Lepisosteus oculatus: one gene and its partners. The protein of the gene in region 2 interacts with the protein of the main gene of each other region in a pairwise test. Links are inferred from orthologs where the notes say so. Each region holds a gene or a part of one and is shown on either strand. Other genes may lie near its edges.

Evidence for each region.
Region 1: the proteins of trip6 (region 2) and ppp1r16a interact in binary tests that used the Homo sapiens proteins (3 or more experiments, as listed by UniProt). The two-hybrid records come from large-scale screens. The link is inferred for Lepisosteus oculatus from reciprocal best matches to the Homo sapiens genes TRIP6 and PPP1R16A.
Region 3: the proteins of trip6 (region 2) and rhoq interact in a two-hybrid assay, tested with the Homo sapiens proteins (2 studies listed by BioGRID and IntAct). The two-hybrid records come from large-scale screens. The link is inferred for Lepisosteus oculatus from reciprocal best matches to the Homo sapiens genes TRIP6 and RHOQ.

The regions. Positions count from the first base shown.
Region 1 is NC_090701.1:29,031,134-29,037,540, reverse strand, and holds the start of ppp1r16a (protein phosphatase 1 regulatory subunit 16A), read right to left. Parts: upstream 4,173-6,407; 5' UTR 4,069-4,172; intron 1-4,068. UniProt on the Homo sapiens protein: Inhibits protein phosphatase 1 activity toward phosphorylase, myosin light chain and myosin substrates.
Region 2 is NC_090698.1:9,103,551-9,109,957, forward strand, and holds the start of trip6 (thyroid receptor-interacting protein 6), read right to left. Parts: upstream 4,116-6,407; 5' UTR 3,900-4,115; intron 3,026-3,899; exon of another isoform or gene 2,937-3,025; intron 2,617-2,936; exon of another isoform or gene 2,325-2,616; intron 2,305-2,324; exon of another isoform or gene 1,514-2,304; intron 1,500-1,513; exon of another isoform or gene 1,312-1,499; intron 1,281-1,311; exon of another isoform or gene 947-1,280; intron 941-946; exon of another isoform or gene 477-940; 5' UTR 427-476; intron 400-426; exon of another isoform or gene 204-399; intron 1-203. UniProt on the Homo sapiens protein: Relays signals from the cell surface to the nucleus to weaken adherens junction and promote actin cytoskeleton reorganization and cell invasiveness. Involved in lysophosphatidic acid-induced cell adhesion and migration.
Region 3 is NC_090712.1:13,380,540-13,386,946, reverse strand, and holds the start of rhoq (rho-related GTP-binding protein RhoQ), read left to right. Parts: upstream 1-2,553; 5' UTR 2,554-2,978; coding exon 2,979-3,120; intron 3,121-3,654; coding exon 3,655-3,713; intron 3,714-6,407. UniProt on the Homo sapiens protein: Plasma membrane-associated small GTPase which cycles between an active GTP-bound and an inactive GDP-bound state. In active state binds to a variety of effector proteins to regulate cellular responses. Involved in epithelial cell polarization processes.

The DNA of each region.
Region 1 (6,407 bases), on a different chromosome or scaffold from region 2:
TGATGCAATCAAAGTGTCAACAACAAACAATTAACAAAACGTTACACATATTTATTTCAGACACTCATTACCTTGACAAAGGTGTGGCACAAACATTTACTGCCACTTCTTCAAAATACCGCTTCCAATAACATCTAAACTGTACAGAGTCGCATCACATAACTCTTATGATGCTAATCATAGCAACACACTATAAAAGCTGCACAACAGATTTCCTATCAGTTTATCAGCCTGTTTCCATTGGTGTGCTGCCCTGAGTGACCTCTTGAGAAAGAGCTGCGCTCCCTATATTGGGGGAAATAAAACAGCACAGGATACAATGATAGCCATTCTCCTGATTGTGCCACTCCCCAAAACACACCTTCAGCGCTGGCCCCTGGCTGACCCCCTCCTGCTTTCAGTGCTGGGGTCACTGAAAGGTCGCTCTCGGCTCTGTTTTGTGTCACCACCACAGCCACCCCATCCAGGAGCGTTTTCTTGCCTTTCACTGCAAAACCCTTAAGCATTATATCACGCCGACACACGCCGAACAGCATCTTATAAGTTCTCACCCAGCCACAAAGGGAAAGAGTTCAGCAAGAGCACATACCTATTTTATGTTTAAACTTTGGAGTTGATGTGCATCTCTAACAATCATTTAATAATATAGTTGGAGTTACTTGTCAGCTATAATTCACAGTGCACAAACTGCAAATGTTTTAAATATCAGACTGAATCTGAAACACTTTTTACAGAGAGCTTTTCTGTAATCCAACAAAGCTCACAACACATATTGTGTGGGTCTGCTTGGACCTTTCTGTGAGTTTACGTCTGCTGAAGGATTCCACAAATCATTCATATTTGGTGGAAGAAATCCAATGTGACTTCCTCACTGACCTTTGCCTAGTACAAGTCGTATTTCTGCTGGAGTAATGATACAGATGCCCTTTGATAACAGTGTCTCCTGTTTGTTTTGCCTTTTAAAACAGTCAAGTTCTCCCTCTCGGACTGTGGGAACGGAGCCCAGATAACCACAGAATATCTTACAGTTCAGACTGGAATCATTGGCAGGGACAAATGGCCCCTGATTGACCGAGCAAAGAATAAAACAAGAAAAATGAAACTAATCACAAAATAAAAATACAGAGAATGAGAGAGCAGGAGAAAGATACAGAGGTATGTTTAGAATATATCTTTGCATAGTTTTGCCTGTTTCCTTTCAAAAGACTTACTGATTTTCTTAATATTTGACTCTGTGCTTCACGGAACAAAGGTACTGTACATGCTTCTACAATGCTGTTTAACAGCAAAGTTTAAGAAATGAGCTATACTGAAATGTATCACCTGAGACAGGGATATAGGCATCTAGATATGCTTATCTATTTAGCTGAGTGTCAGTTCACTTTTGAAATCAGCTCAATTCTTATTGGTTCGCTTGCTAATTATAGTTTTACTGTAAGTCCTTTGGTATCAGGCCTTGTGATATGGTAATCAGCATGAGCAGGTGCTCCTTTAAAACTGCATTCACAGAAACATGAAAGAGAGATCTGAGAGGAGATCCATTAGGCCCAGATCCTACAAACCTCAACAAACGTCTTGTAGCAGTGTATTGAAAACCAGGCAATACAGCTGTGCCAACAAAACTCATTGAAAGACTTTTCCATTACAAATGATGGCTTTAAAACTGTACAAGGTACCTGGAATTGATATGAGCTTTAAAACAAATTGTGACAGACTGTATCTGCATCATGTGTGCACTGGGTAAAAGATTTCCCTTCACCCGAAACACTGTGAAGTAGGTTAAGCCTGTGGTTAATATTTGTATAAACCATTTTTCCCCTCTGGCTTTCTAACAGTTTTGCACACAATTAAGTCACAATGCCAGGAAAGCTCTCAGGCTGAGGCAGGTGGACTTTAATCCAGGTCATGTGAGCTGAGGCATTCAGAGCCTCAGTGACAGCACAAAACCTGCACAGCCGGCAAGCTGCAGAGAAACCCAGAGAAACAGTTAAAACAATGCTCAAAACTTTTTGCTGAACTGCAAAATTTGTTCCACCTGCACACCGATTCCAAATGAACACTCTATAAGTTTCTAGAATCCATGACAAGTATAATCCTGCATATAAAATAATTTCCAAATATATGTGCCTTTTAAACTCATCACAATCTATGCTCATCACAGGGCACTCTGGTTTAAGGTTTTGGTAAAAACTTGACTCTCCCAAAAACAAATTTCCTACCATCTTCACTGAACTGGACCCAAACTGTCACAGGGACAAACAACAAGCGCTGGGACATGCCGACTCCTTTTTGATCTTCCATTTTTGAAAGTGTAAAAATTCACCTGTTGAGCCCTTCCCCCCATTGTACTCTCTGGTGGTGTCCCTGCAAGTGTTGGTCTGTCTAGGAGGCAATCAGCCACCCTGACCTTTGTTACATTATAAGGCTTTGCTTGCTCAGCGAGCCCAGGATCTCATGCAGACACATCATTTGGAGACAATTAAATGTACAACACGCATCCTAGCGATGTGTTTTCCCCTCTTGTTCACTGTCTTACTCGGCTATCTGTGTGTGCAGGGGAAACGTGACATTTCCAACTCCACTACTTTCTTCTTCTCAGACTTTCAGCCAGCCGTTGCCATTTTCTAATCGTGTGTCCATCTCTGTGGATCCGAGCCCATATTTTGACACTCTTTCTGAAGTAGTTTTTGCATATTGGAGACAGTCTCAATCGGCACAAACAGAATTCGATCCAATTTTAGGAAATGAGAAGCAAGTTCCATTGCTGACTAAACAGCACCAGGAAACTCCCACTGTATTTCACTGCGGCCATACAGCAGAAGTCAAAAATGGCCCTGAAACACGCATGAACACACACACTCAAAGAACACGGAACAAAGCAGCGTTAGGTCATAAATGTAAAGTAGCATAAAATTGCAGCTCAATTACTTTACAAGAATGCATGAAATTGCTGAATTGGAAGGAGTGCTCAAAGATGATGCTGTCCCTGGCAGGAGGCCCAGCACAGCAGTGTGAAGAGAGTAAGGAGAGGGAGCTGCTGGTGTATCTCGAGCAATGCGTCAGTCAGGGAGAGTGTCCCTCAGTCAGCAGTCTCTCTGTGCCAGCCATTCATTCAGTCAGCGTGCTGCATTTGCCAGTATCCAATCAGTTCTGTCAGTCAGCGTGCTAAGGAACAGTCTTATACAGTTGATAAAGTGTCCGTGCTACCAGTTTAGAGATAGGGAATACCGTACAGTACTGTATCTGAGACCGCTGTTATTGTAACCTTTACTTTTCCTGACCCTTATCATTTGAACTTTCGGTCTTTAAAACCATAGTCACGTCAGGTTAATTACTGTATATGATGTTCACTCACTGCTCCCTCAGCATATAGAAATCCGACCTTAATAGGCTACTACGGCTGAGCCTCTGGGTTGTAAAAAGTTTTAAAAAATGATAGTACTTACAAAAACAGCACGCTGCTCTCTCTTGTAGGACAGAAGAAGACAATGTCAGGTCACTGTGATGACAGAGACTTAATTACAGCACCATTTTAATTGTTCAGTCTGGACAGAAACCGCGGTTCTGTTAGAGCATGAAATAGGCTTTCCCTGTCTCTCTCTACAGGTTAAATGAAGCGAACTCGCACCCACCACGTCTCTCAGCATCTCTCCAACAATAGTAAAAGTGAGAGACTAAAAGCAACCCTGACACACGCTAGACACGTCAGGCCAGTATCAAGATCCCAGAGCCGCCTGTTGCGCTGCTTGAGAAACTCCCATAAGAAAACGAAAAGGGCAACTCTTCACACCCCTGCAGAAAACGAGTGCAAAGCAACGCCTACCCGATTCCGACACAACCTAGCCTTTTGGAGAAAGAGACAGAACAGCTATGGAGTCAGCCCCGTGAACTCAGCCGCCACGGCGAGGTGAGCGGTGCTGCCTGCCACTGACATCGTGTTGCTGCTGAACTTCCCGCAACTACGCCGCCGCTTCGCCTGGCTTTGCTCCGAATTCGAAGTAGCTCCGATAAGCCATTGAAAACAGTACAAGGCATGAAAGAAACAAAATCAAACGATGATCGACCTACCTGTTGAAGGAGCCGCTGTCACAGCTTCCTCACTTTTCCCATTCGTGCTTCCCGTCCTCGCTCTCTCGCTCTATTTTCCAGTTCCTCTCTCTCTCTTTCTATCCCTCAGGGGAAATGCTTCTCCATAACAACCGTTCTCGTTTCCGGACCTTTTCCTGACGACATCAAGCGGCGACCGGGAACAGCTCAGCGGTATGGGACGTTTTTTCGAAGGCGCAGAATGGATAAATAGAAAATAATTATATACAGTAGTAATAAATATAACAAATATTAATAAAGTTTAGAGTATTTTGTACAGCAATCATCGGATAATGAGGTTACAATTCGAACTAACGTAAAATCCAGAAAAACAGTTTAGATGCGTCTGTAGGAATTGGAAGTTTGTGAAAAATCAATATTTTCTCATAAACGGATAAAAACAAAACTCAGGCGGTCACAGACAACTGGTAAATCAACAAGAAACTCCCTGAGCAAGCTTACACGAAGAAATATAAAAATTCAAACGGTTTAAGTGAGCAGAGGGAGAGTTTACCGTTACAAAGTACTGTGAGGATCGCAGTAAATCGGTTATGAAGGAGAAGCCCTTGGCGTCGGCATGTCTTTTTCTGTATTTGTATTCGGTATTTGTGAAATAAGAGTAACATCAAGAATAATGACGAGTGACTGCCTACTAAACCACGGGTAGTCAACCTTGACAACTGGAATTCTTGGCATTACAGCATTTTGAGCCTGGGGGGAATTGATCCTTAATTAATTTACCAGAAAATTAAAGATAAAATGGAGTAAAATCCTGGAGTGGCTGATAATCTAGGGTGCCAAAGTTAACTACCCCTGGCCTAAACTGTCAAAAGGCTGGACCAAAATTTCCACCCCCGTTCCCCAGAATAGTGAGCAGAGATACAGGGTTGAAGCAGGTTCTTTCTCTGGAAGGGACGTTAAACTGAAGCCCTTACTATTTGGTAAAGATCCTATTGCAGTATTCATATGTTTAGGGATGTTAACAATATCCTGACTGAATTCCACTTAGTGCCTGCACACTTTGACCTCCTTCAGTTTCACTCTTCTACCTCCTCTTCATGGAGAGTAAGCTGGGGTATTCGAAGAAAAATTCTTAATGCAATAAATTGTATAGGGCTAATAAAGTGATGTTATGTTATGTTATGTTATGTTATGTTACCTTATCTGCAGCTGCTGTCATATAATGGCTGACATGTGTCATCTAATTGGGAGCTACACAAAATCAGTCTACTATTGACAGAAAACAAAAGTCTGTATGAGACTGTTAATATTCTGTTTCCAGCCCTCTCCAGTATGTAATGTTCAATAGGGATCCACATTTTGTTGGTTTATTACCAGTTTAAACTACAATTACAGGAAACTTGTATTATAGCATTAACATGATAATACAAGTTAAGGGAATCGGGATGCTTACTGCAGTAGCTGAGCACACTACAGACCACAGGGGGAGCTCACTGTACAGGAATCAGCCTGCCTATGGTCCATAAGCAGTTCTTCGTGTTTTGATGAGCTGAGTGAAGGAGGCTGAAAACACAATTTCTGACTAAATATATTGTCCATTATATAAGAAAGATTACTGCAAGGATGACTGCAGGATACCTGATCTGGCATTTTTCTAGAAAAATATGAAATGATCCTGCCCACAAATTGTTTGCAACCTGTGTGAAACTTCATTGCCACAGTCTAGACAAACTGAGTTCTTTAGTTTCCTTTGGACGCATTAACAAGCACATTAAAAATGAATTTCCCCCAGAAAGAGGGTATCAGCTCTAAAAACTAACCCTACAGCCTCACTCCCTCGGCTCCATACAGTCTCCCATGCTGCTTTGATCAAACATTTGTTACACACAAAACACACATCATGTTTTGACATTACAGGAAAAATACTTTGTTCTAAGATAAATATATACATCTTCTCTTCCTTGCAATAAAATACAGAAACTGCAGACAAATAAAGTTAGCTCAGAATCCCTGTTAAGTGATACTGCAATAAAATACAGATTAGCAAGCATTCCCCGTTATTATTTTCTTTAAACATACACAGCAGTTGGCTCACCATGATTATTTTAAGCTCGTTGTGAATCTTTACACCACTGAGACTCTTTTTGTTTTGTGGAAATTTTCTATCATACAGACCACTATGAAAGTGTAGATGTTCTTGTTTGAGTAGCATACAGAACCTTTTATGACTTTTATGCTTCATAAATTAGTGCCACCCAAAGAAGGCTCAACAGCCCAAGTGCTGTGTTTCTTTTCTTCTCTTTTCAGCAACAAATAAACCTTTACTTGTTCCTTTGCAGCCTACACATGCTGACACGGCT
Region 2 (6,407 bases):
CTCGAGCCCGGCGTCAGCTAGGCCCAACGCAATCTCATTATGTAAAAGGCGAGTTAAGTTCAAAGCAGTAATAATACTAAACTTGCTTTGAAAATGAGTTAAGCATACAAACATAGAAACCGCCTCTTTGGGCACAGCTGACAAGGGAGAAAATATCGATGTGATTGTAATAAAGAGTCGAGCCCAAGGCTGCGCTCGATTACCAGTGTTTTTCAAATTGATTCAACCAGTTGCGCTCTGACCCGCCGGGGCTGTTTTTCGTTGCAATATTTACACTTTCTTGCGCGTCGTAAAGGCACACGACTACGTGACTGGGTCTATGCATCTAGTCCACGTCTTCTGTCAATAAATTATTTTTTTTAGCAGCAACGGGAAGCGTTTCTGCTAACCAGCCGTAACAACAGTTAATCATTTTGAAAGTCTTACCTTAAAAAACAAGTCCCTCCTTTTCGTTCTCCGACTTCTTTATTATTTCTCTGCAAAAGAAAGATATACACGATATTGCCTCCTCTGTCTTTCAATCATTTGGGTCAACATGAAAAAGCTTTCAATAGGGCAGTTATTCGGTGTTTTTGGATCAGCTAGTTTGCATTTGCATTGCCCGATTCCAATAAACTGATTTAGTTTTTGAAGTGCATTGTTTATTCATAACTGACCAAGACTAGATGTTGGATTTTTTTAAAAAAAAGAGCGATTTCCCCCCACATGACAAGTTAAGATCAGCAACTTACTAAACGCCAATTCTAAAACGAGTTTTATTTTCCCCGGCACGTTTCACTAAACGTTCTCCAGACACTAACCCGACACCTACTCCGTCTTATCGTTTTTCAACCGCAGGGCTTACAATATAAACGATATAAATAAAACTTCTCTCCTTTTTTTTCTACCCCGACTTTGAAAGTTTTTTTAAGGATCCTGCCTCTACTTTCCAGGCCTATTTCGTCACCGTTTTCCAATTGCGTCACCGCCCTGAGACGTGGTTCTGTGGTCGAGATGGGTTGCTACTCTGGACACTGACAGGCCGAGGGTGTAGCTGCCCCGTGCGCCAAAAATGAGCTTTACATAGAAGAAAGAAATTCATAAACAGGCTTAAGTTTTTTTTTTTTGTAGCATCATGAAGGATATAACCGAAGCCATATAGGGTGTTAAACCGAACTGAATAGCTATATACGATTATACTTTATTGCCCGATTTATCAGAAAATTGTTTTGAAGGCATGGGATGTTTTACAAACAGAGAGGCTTACAAAAAAACATACAAACACTACACGAAAAATCAATATAACATGACATAAAAGACGTCAACCCATACATCAGTCATTACACGTCCTTCCCACCGGATTTTGCAAAGCTTACGAGAACCTGTCAGCTTCCTGGCCCACGATCACCCTGAGCCTCGATAACTGCACACTCCCTCCTCACTGAGCACACACCACTCATCGCACTCGCCCAAAGACCAACGCTCCGTTATTGATCGAGTCCTCTGAATCTGGGGAAAAGGCATGGCTCATTACGTTAGGCCCGCCGTGGGGGAGGCGGGACTCTTCATGCAGAACAAGCGAGGGGTCAGAGGAGACCCCAGCAGCCGGTCCCTGTGCACCCCGGGTGTAAGCAGCTCCAGAGCTCTGCTCTCGGGGCCGCCCTGCTGACTGAGAGCACGTCCTGCCAAGTCTGGACATCTCCGCCTTTTGTTGCACAGACCGACTGTTATACCAGACGATTATTCGACACACTCTGTTCACACAAAATCTGACAACTGGTACAATAACAAATTGCAAACTGTGGAGCAAGTAAATTTGCTGTTGTACTTTATCGCAAGTATAGTTAACATGTATTTTCAAAGACAGATTGTGATCTACGTATATTCTCTGATATAAACAGTCCTGGGAGCACCAGTAACCCAGCCGCTGACGACTCGTTTACTCCATTGTCACCATGAAATAAACGCGAAACCATCTGCAATATCACCTCATTAAAATAGGTCTGAACCTCACAAGATCGAACCGCTGAACCCCAAATTAACTGTGTGTGTGTTTTACAGAAAAGGTGGATGAATTAGCACCTGTTACAGAACTTGAATATTACAGCTTTGAAAATGCGCCATTGACAGTTCCGTCAACTGCAATATGGCTCAGTATTTCTAAACGTTTTGCAAGAGAACCCTTGTTCTTCTAAATCCCTTGATCCTTCACGATTGTGAATTAGCACTGTCAGGAGTTTGTTTCTAATTTATAGTACTAAAAACCAAGGGTTTTGCTTAAAATCTGTTTACTTCTTCTTATGGGGGAAAAAGGCGTCTTTTGGATATCATGTGTGGATACCAACCAGGTGAATCCAGGTGAAATTAAATTTCGATGATATTGCTGGAAGCCGCACACGCCGGTTGACTAGTCATTACGAGAACAAGAAGAGAAATCTATCTGCTTACTTTCACCTTCCCCACGGCGAGCGCACACACACACAAACCACCACACAACCCACGCTTCACTAAAAATACACTGACACCCAAGTTCCGTAGTACCAAGATCCAAAATTTCCCCGAAAGACCCCCGAACTGTACGAGAAACGCCAGCCGACCCCCGAATAAAAGCACTGAGAGTTTAAAATTACATCAACCTCTGCCAACACGCTTCTGAGAAATTGCGCTGAGATCAGCGTGTTTACCCGGGGAGGGACATGTGACATTCATTTTAAGCAGGTTGTACTACACAAAGTGAAGAGAGGGGTGCTTAAGGGTGAAGGGGATTAAGAAACTTTCCCCGAAATATACTTGTCTTTTGCCGATAGGCGTGAGTCGCTTTCAATTCAGCTATTATTACAAACTTTGGGTGAAAATGAAAAACAGAAACACTTTAACGCTGATCTGCCGTGACAAGAAAGTAGGGGCACCCCTACGGCTGGCGAGAGTGTGACGCGCCGCTACTTGGGTTCTCAGAATTGAGCTCTTGCTGTTTCTTGGAATATTATTTCCTCAAAAGCCGGCGAGGCAGCTGGTTCTAGGAATTTAGGCCACGCTGTTTAACCAGGTGATGTATCACTCCGTCTCTGTCTATATAACATGCCCTGTCGCTTTGCTGTAGTCCTTGAAAAACACATCTTGGGAGAACGCAACGAGCTGAACTGGGGAGCATTTTTTTTGTTACAGTTCCAACTATTGGAGAGGACAGAATTGAAATCAGTTTTTCGAAGTTTATTTGAATGTCTCTTACTTTTTTTGTTAATGATGCTGCTGTGTGTTTGTGGGGAATCCGGCGGTTTAGAAAACGTCACAACTCTCAAGTTTGTTACCAGACTTGTTTCTGTTGCTAATCTCGAGTGGTTAAATGTGAGAAGGCGGGTGTCCTTCATTAATTGTTTTTACCTAAAATATTCTGGCTGCCGCTGAGAAATACACAGAACTTATTTTTAATTTCTTTTGTCATTTTTGTCATTCTGACGTTGTGTAATTTTTTTGCGAAACGCTTGTTACGTTTTCAGTGACGCTTTTGGACGTCCATGCAAGATGTGGTCTTTGCAAGAGGAATACAGTAGAGTCAGGTGCATGTCTGCCTGGGTGATTTATATATTTAGATTACTGGGCTTTGATGCGTTTTTCAACAGAAAGGGTGGCCCTGTACATAAACATAGACTTGTTTACACCTTTCCGAGGGCATTGACATACGAAACGTTTTATTCTTTTTTTATTTCTTATGTCCGGGCTTCTAAGATGAGCTAGGAGTCTGTGTTTACTTAGTCCTATATCTTTTTCACAAATCGTTCCCGTTTACCTGCCTTGAGTCGAGACCGTAAGGTTGCTCCGAGCTAATCGTCTGTGCGACTTTATCCCTGTCTCGGTCCCTCTCTGCTCGCGTTGCTCACGGTATTTACAGCAATCAGACGACATTGCGAAAGCGCACTGACCTCAGATACTCTTTGCACAGCCGCGTCTCTCCGATCTGGAAGACCGCCAAGCGCGCCGGAGCGCCCGGCCTCCTTGTGAGATTGTAGCGGAGAGTGTGAGGAGGCGCTTGTATCTTTTGTACCGCAGACTGCCGATCGCGCACTGAAAAAACCACGGAGCTACTGGAAACGACGCCACTGAACTGACAAGCCGTGTTACAAAAACAAAATCTTTATTTTTGGCAGTGTAACTTCGCCACGGCTCGGTGTAATTGGTCTTCCCCCCCCCCCCACTCGTCTTGGAGTTTACTCCCACACTGCAGTCCAGCAGTCGCAAAATATGCAGCAGCTGCTGAATCTTTAAAACTGAATTAACCACTGAACTACTGAACACATTGCAGCCCGGCGCTCTCACACTGTGCCACTGAACACACTGTAGCCTGGCACCCTAACACTGAACACACTGCAGCCCGGCACTCTCACACTGTGACACTGAACACACTGTGGCGCGGCACTCTCACACTGTGACACTGAACACACTGCAGCCCGGCACTGTGATACTGAACACACTGCAGCCTGGCACTCTGTCACTGAGATACTGAACACACTGCAGCCTGGCACTCTGACACTGAATACACTGCGGCGTGGCACTCTCACACTGAGACACTGAACACACTGCGGCACGGCACTCTGACACCGAGACACTGAACACACTGAAGCCTGGCACTCTGACACTGAACACACTGCAGCCCGGCACTCTCATACTGTGACACTGAATACACTGCAGCCCGGCACTCTGACACTGAGACACTGAACACACTGCAGCCCGGCACTCTGACACTGAGACACTGAACACACTGCAGCCTGGCACTCTCGCACTGAGACACTGAACACACTGCAGCCTGGCACTCGGACACTGCGACACTGAACACATTGCAGCCCAGCACTGAGACACTGAACACATTGCAGCCCAGCACTGAGACACTGAACACACTGCAGCCCGGCACCGAGACACTGAACACACTGAAGCCTGGCACTCTGACACTGAACACACTGCAGCCCGGCACTCTCATACTGTGACACTGAATACACTGCAGCCCGGCACCCTGACACTGAGACACTGAACACACTGCAGCCTGGCACTCTCGCACTGAGACACTGAACACACTGCAGCCTGGCACTCTGACACTGTGACACTGAACACATTGCAGCCCAGCACTGAGACACTGAACACACTTCAGCCCAGCACTCTGATACTGTTACACTGAACACACTGCAGCCCGGCACTCTGAGACTGAGACACTGAATACACTGCAGCCTGGCACTCGGACACTGCGACACTGAACACATTGCAGCCCGGCACTGAGACACTGAACACATTGCAGCCCAGCACTGAGACAAACACACTGCAGCTCGGCATTCTGACACTGTTACACTGAACACACTGCAGCCCGGCACTGATACACTGAACACACTGCAGCCCAGCACTCTGACACTGCGACACTGAACACAATGCAGCCTGGCACACTCCCAGTCCCTCAGCTCTGACCCCCAGTGCCTCACTCCCAGTCCCTCAGCTCTGACCCCCAGTGCCTCACTCCCAGTCCCTCAGCTCTGACCCCCGGTGCCTCACTCCCAGTCCCTCAGCTCTGACCCCCAGTGCCTCACTCCCAGTCCCTCAGCTCTGACCCCCAGTGCCTCACTCCCAGTCCCTCAGCTCTGACCCCCAGTGCCTCACTCCCAGTCCCTCAGCTCTGACCCCCAGTGCCTCACTCCCAGTCCAGCTTCAGCCCTGCTCTGCAGACCTGCTCTCCCTCCTTTCCTTCCCAGTCTCCGCCTCTGCGCCTCTCCAGCCCTGCTGGCCAGCGCTCTCTCCCTGTGCCACCTGCTGAGGAAGTGACTCAGGAGGAGATGACTTTCCTGTCTTTCATGCAGAGGACGGATGCCGTTGCCAAGGAAGAGTCGCGTTCGTGTTTTTTTGCGAATGTTTTGTTTTTGTTTTTTTTTTCCATTTTTCCGAAACAAAAGTAGATCTCCGTCCTCTCCTCCTCCCCTTTCCCCTTTCTCCCTTGTGGAATCGCTTCCCCGTCTCGCCTTATAAGTACAAAATCCAGATCAGGAAGCCGTGTAAAGGGAAATTCTGCTTATTTGGTTTGTTTATCCGAGTGCTTTGCTCCGGTTGTAGCTGAAATCCTGGAAGAGACCTACGCTGGGCTCAGGCGGTCTGCCTCGGGCTGTGGTGGTCCGCAGTCAGCCCTGGTGGGCAAAGGGGTCAGAAGATTCGACTCTGGATATGTGGCATGTTGTGTGTCCTCCACATGCATGGCTGTAATGTCAGGTCACAGAGTGGCAGGATGGTTAACGGCACCCTTTCACACCTGCAAGGTTCTGGGTACAAGTGCCCAGGCCACCCTTCTGTGTGGAGCTTGCATGTTCTTGCTAGATTTGTGTTGGAGGTTTGGGGGGGGGTGGTATAGAGCTCCAATCTTCCAAAGACATGCGGTCAAAGAACCCCCCCCCCCCCCAGAT
Region 3 (6,407 bases), on a different chromosome or scaffold from region 2:
CAGTTCACAGAGGACATCAGAGGCCCTGCCTGAACTCCCTGACACCGGATGCGTGTTTTGTGCTTTGTCAATGTGGTGAATCCCGGGCGGCAGCATGTTTCAATTTGTGTGGCAGAGTCTTTGGCCCGGTCAAACAATTGATGAGTTTATCAGTGCAGTTGACATACGTCTGCCACTGCCAAACAACCGCAATACAAGAGTAGAAATGATGTCCTGTTGATGTGTTTTTTCATTCCTACATGGTGGTGTTCAGCTCTCGCAAACAATTTGATCACTTCTCTGCTCTTTGAGAAATCATATATAAATGCAATTCCAGAACACCAAAATTCGAGTGTGTAGAGGCTTTAAACCAATTATATGACTTTCTACGAAAGTGCTATTTTGGAAATGCCTTATTTATTTTGCAACTTTCGTTGCCATAAATCACTAGCTCGACCACAAGGGAAAAGTTAGTGGTCCTATAATTCATGGGCTTCATCTTTAAAAGAGATTAAATCTGAAATAGACTGGCGATAGGAGATATCTTATGTCAAAAAATACAGCGAGCTCTTATTCTGACTAATTTTAACTTCGGTCTTTAAAGAGAATTTGCTTCTAGAAATACACTTGCACCGTAAATAGCGGAGACCGCGGTATCGGTTATTTCAATCCTGGTAGATACTGTACACATTTCCCATCCGTGCTCGCTTGCAGTTGTTCCAGCCTGGCGTGCTGAGTGAGCTACTGTACAACCGGGACTTCAGAATCTCAGCGATACGCTCGGCAGGTAGAGAGAAAAGTATGAGGTCATTGTTTAATCACGTGACTGCTGCAGCATCTGTCAAAAGTGATACCATTACTAAAACATAACAGCGCGTCCCCAGCCAGCTTACCAGCTCTGGGGAGCTCTGCCCACTCCCAGCTGATTAGGTTTCCATCAGCCTTTTAGGGACCATCGACAAAGTTTACAGCAAACGCGTACAGTGCGTCTTCTCTTTATTTTTTTCATCGTGTAATTGAGCAAACATTTTTCAAATTAATTTCTCGAACTTGTGTGCTTATGCCTTACTGGTGTGGTCATTTGCAGCTGACAGAACTATATCTGCATACAATGCTTGGCAATTGCCTGCATAGTCAATGAAAAGATTTTATTACCCCTGTGCAATACAGACCTTGAGTTAAAAACCTTAAATATACTGTAGCCCTAACCACTGAATGTAAACAGATTAGTAACCAGATCTGATATGACCTGGGCAAGGCCTCACCTAAAGTTTAGTCAGTCAGCCTCTGTTGTCATATTTTATCTAGCACATATAAAACACAACAGAGCACAGCAAACGTGCTGTACAGAAAAGAAAAGAGTATGAACCCGCTTTAATGGTTAATAATTACAACAAGACCACAAATGCAAGTTTTTGCATTAAACTGCAAAACAAATTGACTGCATTTTTAATCTGCTTCCCTGTGCTGACAGTCCTGTGACCCTGCAGGGGTGAGGTCAGACCTCTGCAGCAGGTGAGCTAATGAGGACACATGCAGCTGTGCCTCCCTCTGTACTGGCTATCCTGGTTTGGAGTCAGAACTTTGAACTGTTATATCTCATTCTGCAGTGCAGCAGGGAAGCAGAGAAAACCTCATTATTATCATCATGACTCAGGACTTTCCTTTTTGACCGGGACCAACATCTTGACAGGCACTGCCGAAGAACAAGACTCAATACTTCCCAAAGCGCAGGGCCTGTCTGACACCCCCACTGGAGCTGGCCTGCCCTGGTGTATTTTAATGGCATTGACTGGGCCAGCCAGACACTGAACAGTTCTCTGACTTTCAAAACAAGGACCTGCAAAGTGGGGTCGCAAGGGGGGGCTGCAGTCCATGCTCCAGGCTGGATATACAGGGGTGTCCTGTGTACAGCTCTTGCCTGACACCAAGCTGCCTGTTGCCTTGTCTGAAACAGGGGCTAAGAGCCCTCATCTACCCAGACTGGACCAGCCCCAGGTGAGATACTTGTGCAGGAAGCATGCCAGCAATTAGTACAAATAATAAAATTAAGTTTGCAATAATTTACACTGCTAATTTTATTATACAATGTAAATGGCATAATTCACTGCATACTGTAGCCCTTTCATTTTCATGGTATGGGTCCCTGGGAATTAGACCTTACCATGAGAAGATTTGATACTGTAGGTCTACAAAATATAAGCATGCTTGTGGACTAAGAATTGGTACACAATAGCTCCTCATAAATTATTAAATCACACCACTGTGTCCATTCTAGTTCAGTTTTCGGAAGGGACTGGCCTCAGGGAAACATCGTCTAGCAGCTAGGAAAGGTTATAAATGATAAATGGCCAATTAGTCGGTTGTGCTTGAAGGTTTGAATGTCTGTGGAAGCATGTAAAACGAGGACACAGACAAGAGCAGGAGCCCCGCCAGTCTGCCTCCAGCACACCTACATACAGTACAGTATCAGCCAGAAAATATTGGCGAGGTAACAGCTCACGCTGTTCGCTGAACTACAACCGAGTCACTTTTGACAGAGTCCCTGAGCTCGGACTCTTACTCCGCCTCTGTCGCAAGCCTTCTCGAGTTGGCATCATAGCCCTTACAAGTGAGACTGGAGAAAAGAGTGGGATAAGTGGACTAATCGAGCGACAGGCGAATCAGAGTTTGTCATGCGGGGACAGGAGCTTTAGTTATGTTTGGACCCGTTAGAAGGAAGCCTATGCATTGCATATTGGAACTTTACAGCGGGGCTTGCTGAAACGCCCGGAGGAGCGTGCTCAGCGTGTGTCTCTCCTCCGTGAATGTGCTGGCTCAGAAAGAGGAAGGAAAGCCCTTAACTGCCAAATTTGGCAGCCGGGGAGGAGAAATGCCATTTTCAGTTATTTTGCTAGGGAGCGCAGGCAGACGAGACTGGGAGTAATATTTGCCCGGCAGGACGTTGCCTTTTAACCGATGAAAACCGGGGCGGTTAAAATGTTGATTTTCTGCGAATTATGGCAAATGGAACAGGCACGATTATGCTGAAATGTGTGGTTGTTGGAGACGGCGCTGTCGGCAAAACTTGCCTTCTGATGAGCTATGCCAACGACGCTTTTCCAGAGGAGTATGTTCCTACTGTCTTTGACCATTACGCAGGTAGGCGACTTTTCTTACAGCACCAGAGACATTTCATTGTTCAGTAAGCTGGAGTGCAACAGAACCACAACCGCGCTGTACCAGTGATACACACAGAGCTGGAGACTGTAATGCAAGACGGCTCTGTTAATATAAATCAAAGATGGATGTTTAAATGCCGCGGCTATTAATAAAATAACTTATTGTCTCGAAATGTAATTGAAAGAATCCGTACGTTCTGACGTTAGTTACTGTACATAAAATCCGCCGCGCAATAAACAGCTCAATGTATTTGTACGTATTTATGCTTTTAAATAAATTAATTTATATAGGAGCTTGTTATTGTACAAAGGATTCGTAAAAACTGAAATATAAACTTTTCTCCCCCCCCCCCCCCCCGCTCTTAGTCTAGTTTGCCGCTATTCCCAGACGCATAGATGGTGGCCTTGCAGTGGAATCTTGTTATTCTAATTAAAACCACTTGCTTTGCTTTCTACAGTGTCTCCTTTCTTTCTCTGTCTCTCTACAGCGATGATTGTTTCTTCTTTCTTACAGTTAGCGTTACGGTCGGAGGAAAACAGTACTTGCTGGGACTGTATGACACCGCCGGCCAGGTACGGTACTCTTCTGTCTCTGCAGATACAGATGTACAGTTTACCAAGACCACAAGAGAATAATCAAGAACATATGCTTTTAGAGATTTTTTTCTCGTTGGTGCTTTTGTCATAGTACAGATATATTGCTTTTACATTCATGCATGTTGTAAAGGACTGGAAGGCAGTCCTACTTAAATCTTAGATCTCGATGTCTGATGAGTATCACCCTTTATAAAAACTGAATACTTCACTTAGATTAGTTTTGTGACTTTAAAGGAGCATAGAAAATCCAGTGTCTTAAGTATTGGATAACTTTCATTTCAATCGGAAATGCATTTAAACACAGCTGTAAATCATTTCGACATGTTATGTGGCCAGTCTGAATTGCTGTTTGAATTCTTCCCTTTTTTCAGTCTTGAGGACAGAAGAAATTTCTTTTCTGTCCAGTGAGTCACCGTGTGCCCTAAGTGCAGAGACCTCTCCAGCCTTCCTCCTGCAGTTCTAGAATTGTGAAGTCTTTTTTTTTAGCTTGCCCTCTAGACAGGAATAACTGATCTCTGCTGGGTTACTCAAATAACTAACAAAAATAGCACTGTGGAGAAAAGAGTGAATTGACAATGCACTGAACCCAGGCGTACAGTACCATGATAGGTGTGATTGTTTTTGTGTCCTGTTTTACTCTCACACAGACATGGGACCCAGTTATGTTCCATTTTTGCATGCTGTTCACTTCAAAGTTAGGACCAGTCACTTAGTCATTTTGCAGTCAAGGCTTTAGTGAAATCAGGAATAATCCGTATAGATTTTAAGGATTTAGCATGGAAGCTGGTCGGATGAGAAGGATATCGCCTGTCCATAGTGTAGCAAGTCGCAATTCCCACATGTCCAGTAGCTGTATCTGCACTGACAGTGCTTTGCCACCCCAGTGCCTCCCTGCACCTCTCAGTGCTCATTCCCCTCGGCTTCCCATTGCAAAGGCTGGACTGACAGTAAAGACAGGGCTTGACTCTGTCATCACCAGCTGTGGAAGAAAACGCCATGCACAGGCCAGCACACACATTTTACATGATACCCTTCTAAAACGAGAGCTTTTTTTTTGTTCCTAAGCAGCTGTGCAGCTGTTATCTGGCTTCCACACTTGTGGCAGGAGGTCATGTGGTTGCTTGGAAAGTTTTCTGTGGGTCTTTTGAAAGATTTTGTGTCAAATCTTTTGGTGCCTGGAGCTCGAGGTTTAGTAACTAAGAAACACAAATACTATACAATCAGAGAAAATTGGTAGTATAACTTATACTAGTATTTACAGTTTAGCAAAATCAAGTGACAGTAGTGCGCTTATTGCTATTTTACTGTCTGTTTCGGAGGCAGAATTGGTCAAAGACCACATTTTAGCTGAATCAGTTTATTTGAGAATGGAGAAGTTCAGCAGATGCTGAGTCTTAAGAGCTGTGGCAGCCTTATTGTATGGCCAAAGAGAGTTCCTTTTCTTCAAAAGAAACGGAAGTTCAAATGCCTACTGTAACTCCTCATCTCCCAAGTACAGCTAACCAGCTATTAGCACTTATAAATTAAAAGAACTGGCTGATTTGTAACTGTGTGTTTGAAACAAGTAGGTCTGATCAGTTAAAGGGTGTGCTTTTGTCAGCTCCGTTGAGTATGAGAATCCGGAATAGGGCTTTACGTCTTCTTTTTCTCGCAGGAATAAAAAACGTTGCAATAATAAAACCTCCCATAATTAGAGGCAGCATGTAGCAGTTCCTAGGCACAGTCTTGAGAATCCCAAGGCCAGCAGCCCAGTTCTCCAATCTTTCCAGGAGATAGAGTTAATAATTTTGCCCCATGTGCAACCTTACTGTATATAGAATGCTTATTTACCTGTCATTAAAGGACAAACCTCACAGCTAGCGCTTTTCTGGAATCACTTTGCTCTTTGAAGTTTCATGGGAAGCATCATAGTTGATGTGTATGTGACTGTGCAGCTGAAACATCTTAACATCTTGATTGGTTTTATGTAAATTAAAATTGTGTCGTACTGACATGTGAAGCCTTCCCATTCAGTGTGCTTGTTTCTAAATGATAGTGAGAATACCATTGGACGGAATGTACACAATGTTCAGTGTCACACTTATGAAGTAATGTAAGAGTTATCATCTGCAGTGTGTAATGTTAGGTTTGTCCCTGTGGTTTATTGTCACTTTTAATGATATAGTACAAAGAGTTACCATTTAGTGTCTGTTTGTTGCCATTGAAGGAAAAAGGCTGCACAGTCATGCAATGTTGTCCAGACAGAGAAGGACATTGTGAAACCTCCATGTGTTTTGGAGAACTGAGCCGGGGGTTTGGAAATGTGGCCAAAGCCTTCTCAGCCAGAGTCCTGCTGCATTCTTCCCATTACAGCCTTCACTGGTGTACTAAACTCCAAGCAAGCCATGGAGTCGACATCCATGCTAATCAGTAATTTCATATTCTCTGTGGCACACTGGTGCTTAAAGAAACAAAAGATCTGGAAAACACATGTTCTGGTGTATGTGTCCATGTTTCTGCTGCTCTGGTTTCCAGCACTGTTCCAGCTTGCACTAATGGAATTTTGGTACACCAGGCTTCAACATTACTTAAGACTGAGAAACTTTTGAAACTGTCGAAAATCTCCACGCCATATTTCCTAAATGGTTTTAATTAAATTTTGAGAGCCCAGCCTACAGTATGTTCTCCTTA